Linked DNA regions of Mytilus edulis. The protein of the gene in region 1 binds, or shares a complex with, the protein of each later gene. Links are inferred from orthologs where the notes say so. Each region holds a gene or a part of one and is shown on either strand. Other genes may lie near its edges.

Region 1 (7,869 bases):
TACCTAAAATGGAAGAATTTCACAACCAGGGAGAGTTGCTAAAGGTAATGTCTACAATACTCTAAGATGCATGATTTTTTATTAGTTGTTAGTGGCTTTGAACTAGCTGTCAGATAACTGAGAGTACTCTCAGAAATGTTCCTAGGGTCTTTTTGTTGTCGGGATGTACAAGTACCTGGCCACGTCTAATTGTATTTTTTCCATCTGATGAGTTAAGCCTTTTTCAACTGATTTTTATAGTTTGTTCTTATGTTGTACTGTTATACCACTGTCCCAGGTTAGGGGGAGGGATGGGATCCCGCTTACATGTTTAACCCCGCCACATTATTTATGTATGTGCCTGTCCCAAGTCAGGAGCCTGTAATTTAGTGGTTGTCGTTTGTTTATGTGTTACATATGTGTTTTGTTTTACATTGTCAATACGGGGCCTTTTATAGCTGACAATGCGGTATGGGCTTTGCTCATTGTTGAAGGCCGTACAGTGACCTATAGTTGTTAATGTCTGTGTCATTTTGGTCTCTTGTTGACAGTTGTCTTATTGGTAATCATACCACATCTTCTTTTTTATATCTACATAAGAAAGATAATTTGAAATAGATTAAGTTGTAAGTTGATATTTATTTTGAATATATTTTTTCAGAAAAACACTTTTATTTTTTGAGAAATGCATATTTTTTCATTGTTAAACCCGTAATCTGTCTGATTGTTTCAATTTCAGGTCATTTGGAAGTTGCTCTACTCAACCTCGTCAGCTAGAGACCAGGGAACTCTGTATGCAGCACGCAATACCATAAATGCAAGAAATGTTACCCAAGATCCGGCTGATGATTTTTATGCAGCTTCTGATCTTGTTGAGAAAGTTACCACAGCATATATTATAACAGGTGGTCTTACTCATTTTGGAATGGAAAGTATAGACTCTTTACCCTGTAAAAATGTGTATGAGGGTGCAGTTGGGAATACAAATGAAATGAAAAAATATATTTTTGATCAGGCACGCTCGTTTGTTAAGACATTCACATTGCCAGAAATACCAAAACTTCCAGAATATGGGCCAAATTGCAATACGTATAATTGTAGATACTGTGGAAAAAAGTACAAACAACCACATTCCCTCAGAAAACACGAATCCTCCATTCATGGTCATTATGACCCCCTTTTTGCTAAGGAAAAAGTATCAAGTGGCAAGGATAACGAAAATGAATCTGATGGAGTTAGTGCATATACAAAGTTGGTTTTAACATTGGGTTTATTACGAATGGATCACAACGATGCAATTCATATGGGTGATGGATCAAGGATGTTGAGAATTGACCAGTTCCTTGTTTTGTATTATAAATATTGTCATTGTACAAAATACGCCTTTGGTACTTTGGAAACTATAGCCCAAACTGAAGTTCTGTTAACAGAACGCCAGGCACACAGACTGATATGGAACAGAACTGTAAAACATAAGGGGGACGCAAACACAAATCATCCTAATGATTTAGATGTAGAACATTGTAATAAGGTATTTAAAGATTCTGCCCATAGTTACAGAGGTGTTTTTACTGAGAAAGTGGTTTCGAGAGTCAGTAAGAGTGCTATGAAAGTCCACGAAATTATCAAACAGTTTGACAAAATGTGCAACGTGCATGTTCCATCAGGACGACATAAAACATGTGACAAGGAAATTGACATTATAACTTTGGTCAGACAATTCCAGGCATGTAATTTATTCGATTTCATTCCTGGCCGATCACATTATGCCTATCCAAACATGAAGGAAAATCCCCTTACAGAGCTAGACATGGAGTTTGTTAGAGACTGGATTGGTGCTAGTTTAAAAAAGTTTCAAAATAAACATTTCTATTAGCAGAACAATTTTATTGTTTCAAAACATTTCATCATCTGAACTGTAAATGACTTGTGGTTTTCTTGTTGACGATTCTAAAACATCACTGTCACTATCACTTGAAAACATATCATCCAGTTCTGTAATGTCATTGTCATCGTTATCATCACTATCATCATTGTCCTCATTTGACATAATAGCTGTGTTTATTTTAGGGAGAACTTGATTGCAAGTGTTTGTACATACACATTCATCTTCACAACTGCATGCACATTTGCACGAGAGACGACAAATATCACAACAAAAGTGAGGTATATGTGCATGTTCAACAATTGTTTTAAATATATTTAGAATAAACGCCCGTCTACAGGTTTTAGATTTAACATATTCTTTCATAGATGGGAATATATTTTGACTTCCTAAACATCTTTTGTAAGTTAGTAGAATAGCATTGCATTGTTGTGAAGGTTCCCTACCAGCACGACCAGATTCTTGTACATAGTCATCAACATCATTAGCTGGACCATAATGTATAACTGTATCCACACCTTTTACATCTAGACCCATGCTAAAGGATGTTGAACATAGAACAACTCTAATATTACCGTTTGGATTCATGTAGGATGTACAAATAAAATCTTTTACGTCATCATCGGTTTTCATGTGGAACATGTCAAAAAGGCGATTTCTGTTATCATTTGGTCCTCCCTCTTTGAAGTCTATGTAAGCATCATGCTTAAGGGATGTTTCAAGATATTCATATACGTCTGCCATGTGTTTGATTTGCCTAAAGAATATAATCATCCTTGAAGTGGCCTGCTTATATCCTCTTAATAAATTTACTAACCATCTAAAATTGGTGCAAATATCATCTGAAGGTAAATTATGTACCCAGTATGTTACATTCTTTTTGTCGGGATTTACCATAATCTCAGTGCAGTTATCCATACAAAGTTGCTTTTTAATGACAGCTTTGGTTTCCTCTGTAGCTGTTGCTGTTAGAGCCACTACTGGTACATGACCCCCAACAAGTGAACGAATTTCGTCAAGTCGGCCATAACATGGTCTATATGCCAATTTCTTCTTCTTTTTATCTGGAAGCCCACTGAAAAAATTAAAATTAATTAATCATATTGCAATATAAATCTGCATAGGTCTCATAAAAATGCCTAAGCATTACAACGAAGTATTTCATAAGAAAAATTATGTAAGTACCATAGAAAACATATTTATAAAATCTTAATTATTGTAGATATCCAACAGTCCAGTAGCAAATATTTCATACATCTTTCAAAACATCACAATATGAATTGAAAGTTTTTAATTTGGATACCATTGGCAGAATAATCTTTCATAATAATAACAGAAATATTCAAATAAAAAGGTGATTAATTATTAAAAGTAAAATTAAATGAGAATGTTTTGAATAAATAAACATTAAATAGTTATTGCATGTACAGATATATATACATTTATAAATATATGATGTTCTTTTGTATGCATGTACTGTTTTTAAGATATACATATTTATTCTTATGTATGTTATAGCTTATGTTAGAGCGATTCAGATGATTTGTTTTTCTACTTTAGTATTATACATTATTATATGTACAAAAATAAATACTTACAACTTTTTTATGCAGTGAGCTTCATCTACAAATACTGTCTTGATAAATTTTTTCTTTGCCAAATCCAATAGTAATTTTCTTTCATGTCCAATAAGTGACTCTGGACTGGAGAAAATAATGTCAATTTTGCCATCCTTTACATCTACTAAGGAAAGATTTGTTAGGCTGTCTTCAAAATTCGATGGTGAGGTAATGTCCTTCAAATATACTGCTTTAATCCCTTTTCTATTCAATGATTGAGTCTGTGTACGCATTAAAGATGTTAGAGGCGAAATAACAAGTACAATACACATATCATTCTTCTGTAAATATTTAAATACAAAAGGTGCTATTTCAAAAGTTAGTGATTTGCCACTTCCAGTTGGAGAACAGAAAAATACATCTTTGCCTGCCAAAAAGCTTTCTACAACTTTTCTCTGGTTAATTTTGATTTCAGTAAATGACAACTTTTGTAATCCAAAATCTATTGCAGCAGATATGACATCTGTATCCATTTTGATGTAAGAATCATAAGAAAAGTGAAATTGTAATCTACTTGAGATAAAATATGGGAGAACAGCATGGGATATATACACATGACAGTCTAATTATCTATTATCAGCAGATGTGAAATAATAACCTCTTACCGACCAGTATCTGGTCGGTATAAAATGTTATTATACAAGTCCCTTTCTCCAAGGGCAATCAGTAGGCTGGCACTTATCAGTAAACATATAAATTAGTAAGAGAGAAATATTAGAAAGGGAATTGTAGCAAGTCTAAGTGCCACTAAATGTATCATTATACTATAGTCAGTTGAACTAAATTAAGCCAGCTCCCCCAGTGGCGGATGCAGGAATTTTCGAAAGGGGGGGTGCTAGCCCAGGGCAAAGGGGGGGTGCAGGGGGGGTGCAAACATATGTCCCGATTCAAATGCATTGATCGGCCAAAATAAAGGGGGGGTGCGGACCCCCGGAACCCCCCCTCTGGATCCGCCACTGTCCCCAATTGCTAGTGAATATAATGTGTCTGTTCCCACATCACGATGTTATAAAATCATGACGTCCATGCAATTTTATAATTGAATTATTCCGAATTGTCAAACGGCTCAATCCATATAACCGAAAAAGGTCCTCCTATCCAGCACGGTTGGAAAATATTTTATCCGGAAATAGTATCTCGAGTACAACCGTCAATTGTTTTGATTCGTATTATTAATGTCTTACTTCCGTTCAGTCATGCGCGTACATTATTATTTTTGAGCGCCAGTTTGAAATGAAAACAGACAGATGATTTAAAAACAACATTTACAACTTTTGGCAATGCATATTAAATCTATGGTCGTAGACGGCTTTAAGTCGTATGCTCAAAGAACAGAAATCAACGGATTTGATCCCCTTTTTAACGCTATAACAGGGTTAAATGGCAGTGGAAAATCAAATATTCTGGATTCTATTTGCTTCTTGCTAGGAATCACAAACCTTTCTCATGTAAGTTTGTTTCTTTTCATTAATGAGCAAATATTTTAATTTACACAAGCTCACACGAATGTTAACACGATGTACTGTGGATATCTTTAATCCTCTATCTTTTGGCCGTATGGCACAACTGTTCTCATTGGTGCATTTTAATAGAAATAATTTCTATCCTGGTCCAGTTGGAAGGCAAACAATTTAATGGCTTCTAAGGTCAAGACATTGGTCAAGTGATAAAAGGTCAGAGTTTACGATATTTTGGTAAACGTGCATGCCTCATGGTTTTTGGACTCGTAACGACTAACGTGTAGCCACTTTATAACGGTTAATGTGATTGGATGATCTTCAAAAATCAATAATAAAATTGCTAATAAATGATTGGATACGAAAATGTGTCAGCTATTACTTTGATGAAAAAATGCGGTCTTACTAATTAGCGACAAGAAGCGACAAGAAAACATTTTTTTTAAATTAAAATTAATTATTGCAATAAATAATAAAAGAATATGCAAAAGAAAATAATTTTAGCGACAAGAAAGTTTAAATTGATAGAAAAAAATGAAACATTATTTACATAATATTTTATCATCTATTATGAATAACAGCCAGTATTACGTTTAATTATTGTATTATGAGATTACTTTTCCTTGTGTTTTAGAACATACTATTTATCTTATAATTTGTTTTTGGAAAATGACGCAGTCATTGTTCCATAACTGCCGACCTGAACTTCATTACATTGCTCTGCCTACCGCGCTTGGTTTCGTATTTCCTATTTTCCAAACAAACTGGAACCTGCTTGTGTTATCATTATGCATCGTTGTGTAGTATTAAACCAGCCAGGACCCAGTTTACACTGGTTTTTGCTTGTATTCCACTACACTCGAACAAAGTGTTGTAGTTTGACGGGAACCAGTTTTAGAATTTGTAAACTACAAAACGTAATCGGTTATTGTTCATTCCGTTTTGGTGTTTCATACCGACTTATATGGTTTGAATAAGCTTAAGACCATTTAAACATTAATGTGATAGGTATATTAAAGATTGTTTTACAAAAGGATTGAACTGTTTTACTTTCAAAGTCGTACTATAGGGATGTCTGTCATATACGGATTTCCACTCTCACCGGTTAATTTCTTCTTTTACACGTGCTTTGGAAACTTCCTGTTTAATCGCAAGTTTTAAAATTGTTTTTGAGTGAATTAAACTTATTTTAACAATCATGAAGCGTTCCAGAATCATTTTAAAGCAGTTTCTTCTTCTCTTTGATGATGGAAAATAGGTTTTCTCAAGAAAATACCGCAAACGATCGCAGAGGAATTGAAACGTACAAGTCAAGTCGGCACCTGGTTAAATTGGCATCTAGTCAAATCGGCACCTATTCGACGTCAATTCGGCATCCAATAATATTTGATATAATATTTTCTATTCAATTAATTAATTACTGTTACCAAGTACATAGTGAATATGTTGTTGTGTATTTCGGTAAACCACGAAACGAAAGTGAATATGTAGTGTATAAAGGTAAACAACGAAGCCCTTACCAAAGCTGTTGTTTTAACAATTAGACAATTACACTTAGACAATTTGTGTAATTGTAAAAACAAGTCAATTATTAAAATAAAATGGAAAACTATGAGTCCCTTTCAATAAATCAAACTTTCATGCCAAATAATTAGCAAATTTAAGGTGTTTGTTTTTCAGTAAAGTTTAAACAGCATTAAACCAACAATCCTGTAAAATGCTCAACTGGTTAAAATAATGCAGAAAAATACACAATATCTCATGTATTAGTCCAAATAATTATGACGTCTGGCAAGGCTATTTTATTATTTTTCTGGGACGCCTTCCTACGACGTTCAGGTGCCAATTTAACTAGGTGCCAGTTTGACTAGAATTCTTTGACAAATGTTTGAAACTATCTGAGTTTCATTAGACCTTTGATAGCAGTAACAAAAAGATTATTTACTTAATATTTTGTGGGAGAAGGGGGTTCAGACTGTGTGGCATCAGGTCTGTTTGTGCCCAATACATTTTCGCACCCTACACGTTCGCACATTCACACTCTACTCATTCATGCCCAATTTTAATTCAAATTCAAGTTGAATAATTGGAAAATTATGGTTGTTGTTTTAAATTGCTTTGGTGTAAATACTGAATGTATTTATAGCTTGGTATGAGTAAAACATTGAAGATTTTAAAGGAAAAAACACAAAAGATAATTGTTTTTAACAGCTTGGTCCCATTGATCTGAAACAACGAAACAATAAAACATAGAAACCAAAATATAGCAATCCACTAATATAACCAAAACATGATAAAATTTATTCAACACGCAGAAACAAACATAGTCAGAATCTCACTTCATTTTGAAACAAGTCAATGAAACAAGTTATAGCAATACACTAACCAAAACATGATTAAGAGTTATTCAACACAAAATAAAACGTTGACAAAATACCACTTTATTTAGAAAGGATTATTATTATTTTTAGCAATACCTTATCCAAAACATAATTAAGATTTATTCAACACAAAAAAAAAAATTGCTGTCTCACTTTATTTTGAGACAATGACAACAATTATACTTATAAGAAAACACTTGCTTACATAGTTATTAAACACAAAACCAATTAAGATTGGGTGTGAACATGTAGGGTGTGAAAGTGAAAGGGGTGAAAATGAGTGGGCGCAAACTTGAATGGAAGCAAACGGACTCAGATTCAGACTATGTACCAGTGAGAAATATACAAGCCTTTCTACGGTATTTATTTGTACAATTCAGCTAGTCTTGACCTATTCATTTGTCTTAAAAAACCAGCCAGTTGTCACCTTCACTTCACACACACACACATATACGAATATCAATTATATGCTTACGATACATGTTGCATTGTTAAACTAATTACGGTATGTGAAAATCAAGACTTGCATAAAAACTATCCCTATATTA
Region 2 (8,944 bases), on another chromosome or scaffold:
TCTAATACATCTTGATTGAGTCTTTCTCCTTCATAATATAATATTTGTGCATCATGGATGACTGAATTTTGCTTAGCATTCTCAAGAGTTTGGTAATTTCGAATAAAAACTATTTCTTTCAAAATATTTCCAGATGCATGCAATTTGTAAGTCTTATTTCATTTTATGTCAGTAACTTACCACTGAAACCACATAAATGTTTGTCCAACCTGAAATTACAAAGAATATATATTTATTAACTGGCATCTCCAATGCATTCAGATCTGTTCTGAAAATAATTCAGAATGTATCTTAATGTACAATCCTTTCAATACTGTTGTTGTTATTTTGGTGTGTGTGTGTATGTTTCTTTTTTTTTTAACATGCCTATTGTCTAGATTCAATTGAATATTTGATTGTTTATAATTAAACTGTGTATGTGTCTGTGATATATGCACTCCTGCAGCCCAAATTTGGTGAATAAAATATCTTATTCTTTACTATAGGTTAATTTTCAAATTATCAAGTAAGATAATAACTAAATAGTCATGTACATGTACATTTACAATATCTCACTTTTCAAAAGTTTAAACAATACTTATCTCATCCAGTTTATAAGAATATAGTAATTTAAAATTCAACTGAAGTTAAATATATCTGATTATTAAGTATGGTACAAACACAGTACATTGTATCTACTGTGGAGTCATCAACAGAGAAGTCCTTATAACAACTACAGACAGATACAGATAAACATGTAACATCAAGAACAGAATTATCTTAATGAAACCTTCCTGGTATGTAGTCAGAATATCATCTGCAAAAAAACAATCCTTTTTTTTTAATCTTTGTTAACAAACAACCAAGAGCAAACTCCCAACAAAATAATCACCATAACACCTACTTGGTAAAGATGTAATGTCCACAACAGGGCAAATTTCATGACAACTTGAAGTGTACCTGTTAGGGACGACATCAAAAGATCGATGTAGGATAAAAAACTTAAATCAAATAGTTTGGGGGTGGGGGGTCAACATTTCTGCTAGTTTTGTTAATCCAAAATTGATTTTACATATATCCATAAAGGTAAATCAATTTTTCCCAAATTAAGTTAAGAGGGGGGGGGGGGGGGGGTGTCAGTGAAAAAACTATGTGAATTAAGTTTTTTATCCTACATTGAACTTTTGACGTCGTCCCTTATGTTTACAGATATAAGATCAACAACAGAATAATCTTCATTACACACTTTTATTGTACACATGAAGACAGACATAATGTGTACATCAAGGGATATCCAAAGTACACCTACCTGGTATATAGACAAATATAACATCAAGGGATATCCAAAGTACACCTACCTGGTATATAGACAAATATAACATCAAGGGATATCCTAAGTACACCTACCTGGTATATAGACAAATATAACATCAAGGGATATCCTAAGTACACCTATCTGGTATATAGACAAATATAACATCAAGGGATATCCTAAGTACACTTACCTGGTATATAGACAAATTCGGGCGAGCCTGATATTTTTTGTGATAAAGTCAGTATCAAAAACAAAAAGTCCTTTATTCTGTTTATCGGTAATTTAAAAAAAAATTAAAAATCACTACAATAATAGAGAAAATAACAAACAAACTTCTTTTTCGCGTCGGATCACGGCGAATCACACTTGACGTCACAGGCTGCATTACGTCATTTGAAATTTTGTCACAGTGCAGTAAACATTAAACATGGCGTTCTCTTGCACAAAGTATAAAGATTTGAAGGAATTATTGCATGTGTTTCATTAATATTTTGCTTTGGACATGACTCTAACGATGGCAAATATAATGGTAGCATACCGGTAAGTCAAATTTCTGTATTTTTCACAAAGCATCAACAAAGAGGGGGATAGGAGGGTTCCTGATCCCGAAATCCCGGCCCGTTTAAAAACACGAAATCACGAGGTCCCGAATATAAAGTAAATTAAAGTAAATCCCGACATCCCGAAATCACGAGCTTAAAAACACCTGATCCCGGAGTCCCGATAAAGGTCCTATCCATGCATCCATGACCCCCCTCGAGCATAGTAAGTCAGAACATTAGAATGATACGATATGAATCAGCAGATTAATTGTTCATCGATCATCATTTTTAAGTTCAACGACAAGTTATTATAATTATATTTTACTTAGTTTAGTGGATAAAATTACATTTATCTTGTCATTATTCGCTCAGTGTTCATCATGAAAACGATCACATTGATTTCAAATAATTTTAAGGAAGCACTGAGGAGTAGTCCAAATAATTATGACATCTTGAAAGTTTATTATATTTTTTCGTCATGATTATTTGGACTATGTGAGGAGACATTTTAGGAGCTGAGTGACTGTTAAAGTTATTTGTAAATTATCTGAACAAGCTCATTTCTTGCCTTCTTCATAATTATTTCAAACATTTTAATAGACGTCACTAAACTTTTAGCTTAATATAATTCTTGCTTTTGTCAAAGTCTTGTTCATCTATTTTCAACACGGACCAGAAAAATGAAATTTGAGTTTACAGTCACTGTGGTTACCTTTAATTTCTTATGTGAATTTAGGGGAAGGCGACCCGTGTCAGTCACCTCTTAGCTTATAAAGGCTACAATTCAGGTCAAAGCAGACCTTTATACATGTATAGTTTGGTGACCCCGGTTACCCCCCTTTTTAAAATTTATCCTACATGTAGATCCGCAAATGAATAAGTTCACTTTTTTGTTCTTTGTTCTATGAATATCTGTCTTTAAATTGACCATTATTTTCTAGCTTCTCTCATGCGATAGCGGTACCTTTTTGGTCACTATTTATGTGTTGCGTTTAAATATGAATTGCAACACTTTATAGTGACTGAACAGGTAAAACAAATACTTCTCAAAAAACAGAAAAAGAAAACTACTTGGAACAGCACCCGGCTATGTATTGGTATTGTATGCATAAAAACTCGGATTGGAACATCATGGACGATATAATAATGTTAGTCATGTACTTAATATATCAATTATAGATAACACATTTTTTTTAAAAGTCTATCGGCTTTTTCATGCATATTTTGTTTACATTTTGACATCAATTGTTCAAAAAGGCTAAACTAACTTTGTGAAAGTTTCAAACAATGTAAAGTATTTCATCGCCAAAAATCTCGTGCGTTTCTGCGAAAAAAATCATGCGCAATTTTGTGAATGAAAGGGGAAAGTAGATCCTTACGCGTTGTATTCGCGCATGTCAATTGCGTACTAACCCAATAATTTTTATATCACGGCCAGTCCACTGATACTGACATTATCAGTGAGTACACATCAAAGGAAAATATACAAATTACCGATAAAACATCAAGGGATATCCTAAGTAAACCTACCTGGTATATAGACAAATATAACATCCACAAAAGAGTAAAGGCAAAAACATCTCTAGCTGCCTGGAAAAGAAGTGCTGCAAAGGAGATCAGTATACCCAGTATACAAAGGAGATCAAGGCCAGTCTCGGTATCTAATCCAATCATTGGCATTAATCTCAGCAAAGTTGGATGTCCATCTAGCAAATCAGCAAATGACTTTGCAGCTAAAAATATAAGATTGTTAATAATGGTCAGATTTGATAGAGGAACTAAATGAACTGGCAATCACATAAGTAGTGTTGGTAGAGTGTTAATAATTCACAATGTCTTGACTCAGGTTTAGATGTATGATATGACTTTTTTCTATTGGGGACAAATGCATGTTTTGTTTGTTGGTGTTTGGTTTTGTTTTTTTTTTTTTTTTGGGGGGGGGGGGGGGGGAGGGGGTGCTGTCTCAATGACATACAGTGACATATATACAACTTTCAATTCATTCTTTACCCTTTAATTAGAGAATTTAATTTAAGAATCGCAGTAGTGCATGAACAGTTAACAAACTGAGACAGGCCTGGTATCATATGAATAGAATTGTACTTCAATCATGGAAGAAGAATCCTGTTGTACTTTTACAATAGTTTGGTAATAAATAGTACATGTATGCTACAACCTTAGTCTAATTTAAAAATCTTAAAAATAGAACTTAATTACCTTTCCCAACCGCTAATCTAGCTGGCAATATTCCATTGTCACCATATAAACCTTGAATGAAAGAAATTTGGTTAAAAAGGTTTTAATATTTCTGGAATCAAAATCAAAATTTATAACATTTATTTCAATTATTTCAGAGTAAAGCAAAAAGTAACTACAACTTTAGGTAAACACCTAGAAAAGAGTATAATTTCTTTCCAATATTAGAAAAGTAAATGGTACTCAGACTCAACTAAGTAACATACATGGCATATAAACAAAAATATTTGATATATAGACTTTCAATTGATCAGAAGTCAGAAAAGTTGTAAATATTATTTGAGCAGGGGGATGTTTGGATTCAATAGTTTATGACAGATGTAGGGAGTAATGAAGTCAATCATTTATTGTATGTGTCACCATTCAGTATTTATAAGATATTACAGAGTAGGTATTCATTAGGATGGTGAACATTGCTCAAGGTCATTGTTCTGTAAGTATAAAATGCTTTAGATTTCGGTTTAGAAACTGATTAAAATTTACCTAGTTATTCATAATATAAATCTTGCTTTCCAACTATATTTAACACAGTTATACTGTTTCAATAAGTTTTTTTTATATTTATAACTCTTTCAGTTTCATTTCTATAAATGTCTTTAAAATGATGTGCTTGAATTGGTCAACAGAATCTGAACATAGAACTCAAGATGGACTTTTATAAATCAAATTGAAATAAATAGATTTAAAAGATAAGTAATGGGTTATTTATGTATAGCTATTGGAAATCACTTTATGGTTATAAATGTTAAAATCTGAATAAGAGTAAACAAACGGATAGTTACCAGGAATTTGTACATATAGTGATGAAAATGCAAGCAAATATATTGCTGCCATGCCCCATAAAAAGGCATTTTTCGTTACTTTGTAAGATGACATCTTAATGTATAATATTAATAACCAAATCACAACAACAGCCGCTGCAACGGACCTAACAACACTTTCGGACACAGTTGCACTGAAAAATAGTTCCCTGTTCAATAGATGTCAACTACTTCATCAATCGTTTATCTGATCATAATTACAATAATTCACACTACAAAAGATTCAATTAATTTCTTGGTTTAGCTATGATTCTATAAATTTTAATGCTAAAACAAATTGTCATAATTGTACTTTCATTTTGTAATTGGCGGATTAAAATATTCTACTTTCGTTTTTGATGTTAAACAATATTTGATTGGATAAAATATTGCAAGGTGCCCCGTTATATCCAATCAAATTGTTCCTTCAATATTTACCATTTTATGTATTAGCGGAAGCGGGATATCCAAAATCAAAATATAAATATAAAAACTACCAGGTAAATAGTAAAAAAAGTAGGTGTTTATGAAAGCTTTCATCAGTTGTTCATTACGAGCAAGAAGGCTCAAGTTATTCACACCAAAACCCGTCCTCTCTAGTTCATGGAAGGAAGAGAAGCCACAGTTTGAAAGTCAAATTAAATCTAATTTACTGAGTATTACTATATCACATATATGAAATAAAAAAGAAGATGTGGTATGATTGCAAATGAGACAACTCTCCACAAGATACCAAATGACACAGAAATTTACAACTAAATGTCGCCGCACAGCCTTCAACAATGAACAAAGCCCATACCACAGTCAGCTAAGCTATAATTTATAAAAGGCAAATAACAAATGAGGAGGGTTCCTGATCCCAAAATCCTGGGCTTTAAAATATGAAAACCTGAGGTCCCGAATTTAAAGAAATTTAAATCTTGACATCCCGAAATTCAAAAAAAGAATTCCTAGATCCCGAAAGGATCAATCCAGAAATCCCAAACTTAAAAACACCCGATCCCAACGTCCACGTCCTGAAAAAGGTCTTGCCCCACTCACAAATGTAATACAATTCATACGAGAAAACAAACAGCTTTATTTATGTACAAAAAACAACAACTACTGAATAACAGGCTCCTGACTTGGGACAGGCACTTACATACAGAATGTGGCGAGGTTAAACCAGTCAGGGGACTTAAATGTACTTAAATGAGTGATTTTCTAATCACTGATTCAAGTAACATTATGGCCATTAAGGTTGGAAGTAAGAGTTGTCTTCTTTTATAATCACCTATTTAAGTAGTACAAATTAATCACTAGTCTAAATTTGGGTCTTCGTCGATACCATACTTATTCCTGACGTTCCGTATTAGAGGACGTATTTGGCATTTCCTCTGCACTTCTTGTATTATTATTACTTCTTCACGATGACAACAATAATAGTAGAGAGTATCATTAATTGATAAAACAAAACAACAATTCGCTGAAGGCATGTTTACAAAATGTCAAAACAAGCCAAAGACCAAAAAGTGACAAGGACAGTTAGTCGCCTTTTATGGAGACAAAAACTATATTCATAAAAAGACTTTGGGGTTTTTCAACGAAAAAGTAGCAAGCTGAACTAAGTTAAAAGATAATAATTAGAGACAAATCTCGTCTGTACTAGCCAAATTTTACAAATTTAAGGTTGTAAAAAATCATATCATGAATGATGGTTAATTACTTTTTTGGGTAATCAGTTACACCCCATGGTTCTATTATTTCCATAGGAAAACGGGCCTAGGAAAACACCGAGACGTCCCAAAAATATATAGGTGCTCCTATCATTGGAGGAACATTACACAGTTGTGTACACACACATGGCGGCACGGAACACGATCGGAAATCCATTTGACGATATCTAAACATATCTAAACGAAGTGAAAAATATTGTGCGCCACATGGGGGCTTACATAAGTCACTCTATGCGCCATTTCTGGTCGATAGGCGCAGGGCGCACGACCTTCCCGATCACTGATTATATATGGCCAAATAAAAATATATGTGTGGTTCCAGTTACCCTACCTACCCAACTAAATGAATGAATGGGTTATTATAGTGGAATTATAGTTATCCCGTACCATTGTAAACTCGTACCAACGTCAACTCGTACCACTGAAAAAAACCTTGTACCAATGCAAACTCGTACCACTGCTAACTCGTACCAACTTATTCAAATGCATTTAAATGGTGTTTAATGATGAATATAATTTTTTATATACATGATATACGTTACTTTCACTCAATACCTCTTAAGTCTGTTAAATGTATATAATTTGAAAGTACAATGACCAATTTGTAGCTAATGTTCCTTGTCTATTGGATAGAAAATACCGTGGCAGATGTAGATTATTAAAGTATTATCAGTTTTACCCCAAGAAAATATTAATTTTTCATGAATAAATCTTAGCAGTTAATCAAAATGATTTCCAAAATTAAATTCTTACTGTCTATAAATAACAATGAAATGTAACATAGCATTCAATTTGTGATCATGGTTTACAGCTTTAATTAATTTAATTTGGATATATATATTCAACTTAGGGTACAGTTAAAGCAATGTTTTAACTTTCTTCTGGATTAAGTTCTAGTTTGAAAGATCAGTTTAAGCAATAAAGCTTAAAAAACATTCTCTATTTTTGTCTGAGTTTTCATTTTTAACCGGATTTTTGTGACAAAAATGTCGGTTATTGATTTGGGGATGTACGGCGGGCGGGCGGGCGGTCGGGCAGTCGGGCGGGCGGGCGGCAATCAAATGTTGTCCGTGCATTAACTCATGAACCGTTCAACCAAAGCTTTTAAAATTTTAATATGTTGTTACTGACAACTAAATGAAGGTCAAGTTCAATAATGGCGATTTTGACTTTTACCGTTCAGGAGTTATGGTTCTTGAAAGATTGAAAAATGGAGTTGTCCGTGCATTTACGCATGAACTGTTCTACCAAAGCTTCCCAAATTTTAATATGTTGTTACTAATGAAAGAATGGAGGTCAAGTTCAATAATGACGAATTTGACTTTTACCGTTCAGGAGTTATGGTTCTTGAAAGATTGAAAAATGGAGTTTCCAGTCGTGTCCGTGCATTTATGCATGAACTGTTCTACCAAAGCTTCCGAAATTTTAATATGCTGTTACTGATGACAAAATGGAGGTCAAGTTCAATAATGACGATTTTGACTTTTACCGTTCAGGAGTTATGGTTCTTGAAAGATTGAAAAATGGTTTTTCCCGTCGTGTCCGTGCATTTTCTCATGAACCATTCAACCAAAGCTTTTGAAATTTTAATATGTTGTTACTGATGACAAAATAGAGGTCAAGTTCAATAATGACGATTTTGACTTTTACCGTTCAGGAGTTATGGTTCTTGAAAGATCGTAAAATGGCGTTTCCATTCAGGTTGTTGCATTTACTCATGAACCATTCAATCTAAGCTTTTCAAATTTTAATATGTTGATACTGATGACAAAATGGAGGTCAAATTTGATATTGACGATTTTCACTTTCACCATTCATCAGTAATGGTTCTTGTGATATTGCCAGGACACAAATAAATGTTAATAAATCCGGTTTGCTGTCGTTGTGACAGCCTCTTGTTTAATATATTTTTAATTGTACGAGTTTACAGTGGTACGAGTTCTGAATGGTACAACTTCCCAGTGGTACAAGTTAACTTTTTTGCTACGAGTTAACGTGGTACGAGTTTTCGATGGTACGAGTTAACTATAGTGCAACCTGTATAGATACAATTACACTAAATATCTAGGAAAAAACTTGTTCTTATCAAAAGAAAAGAAAGGGAAGAGAAAGTATCATATAGCCAGGGTTTCCAGGGTTTGGCGATTAAAATTTGTCATTGGCGAAAGAAATATATATAACAATTTATTTTCAACCATCTTGTTTATTTACTTTTTCGGTTTTCTCGGACTTTACCTGATCAGACAATACTTGGAATTCACCTTGACCTCGTTAAGATTTTGACAGAAAATAAATAATCAGCTGATTGCATTTTATAGCTATCGACATCAAAGGACT

The links.
Region 2: the proteins of structural maintenance of chromosomes protein 2-like (region 1) and condensin-2 complex subunit H2-like are in contact, whole or in part, in a cryo-EM structure (PDB 9F5W), measured with the Homo sapiens proteins. The link is inferred for Mytilus edulis from reciprocal best matches to the Homo sapiens genes SMC2 and NCAPH2. Residues at the interface, in NP_001036015.1 of Homo sapiens: Leu93, Thr125, Gln128, Asp129, Cys132, Gly135, Leu136, Asn137, Met173, Tyr174, Lys177, Lys178; in NP_689512.2 of Homo sapiens: Glu46, Phe53, Ile54, Glu55, Leu58, Leu59, Gly62, Ser63, Ala64, Cys65, Val66, Lys69, Tyr73.

Annotation. Positions count from the first base shown.
Region 1 is NC_092344.1:125,107,418-125,115,286, reverse strand, and holds the start of structural maintenance of chromosomes protein 2-like, read left to right. Parts: upstream 1-4,673; 5' UTR 4,674-4,763; coding exon 4,764-4,931; intron 4,932-7,869. Other genes in the region: uncharacterized protein, read left to right, coding at 1-44, 719-1,855; probable ATP-dependent DNA helicase RecS, read right to left, coding at 1,874-2,939, 3,463-3,956. UniProt on the Homo sapiens protein: Central component of the condensin complex, a complex required for conversion of interphase chromatin into mitotic-like condense chromosomes.
Region 2 is NC_092350.1:23,511,979-23,520,922, forward strand, and holds the start of condensin-2 complex subunit H2-like, read left to right. Parts: upstream 1-5,313; 5' UTR 5,314-5,392; exon of another isoform or gene 5,393-5,408; intron 5,409-8,944. Other genes in the region: lipase maturation factor 2-like, read right to left, coding at 181-209, 3,367-3,569, 4,054-4,104, 4,875-4,968. UniProt on the Homo sapiens protein: Regulatory subunit of the condensin-2 complex, a complex that seems to provide chromosomes with an additional level of organization and rigidity and in establishing mitotic chromosome architecture.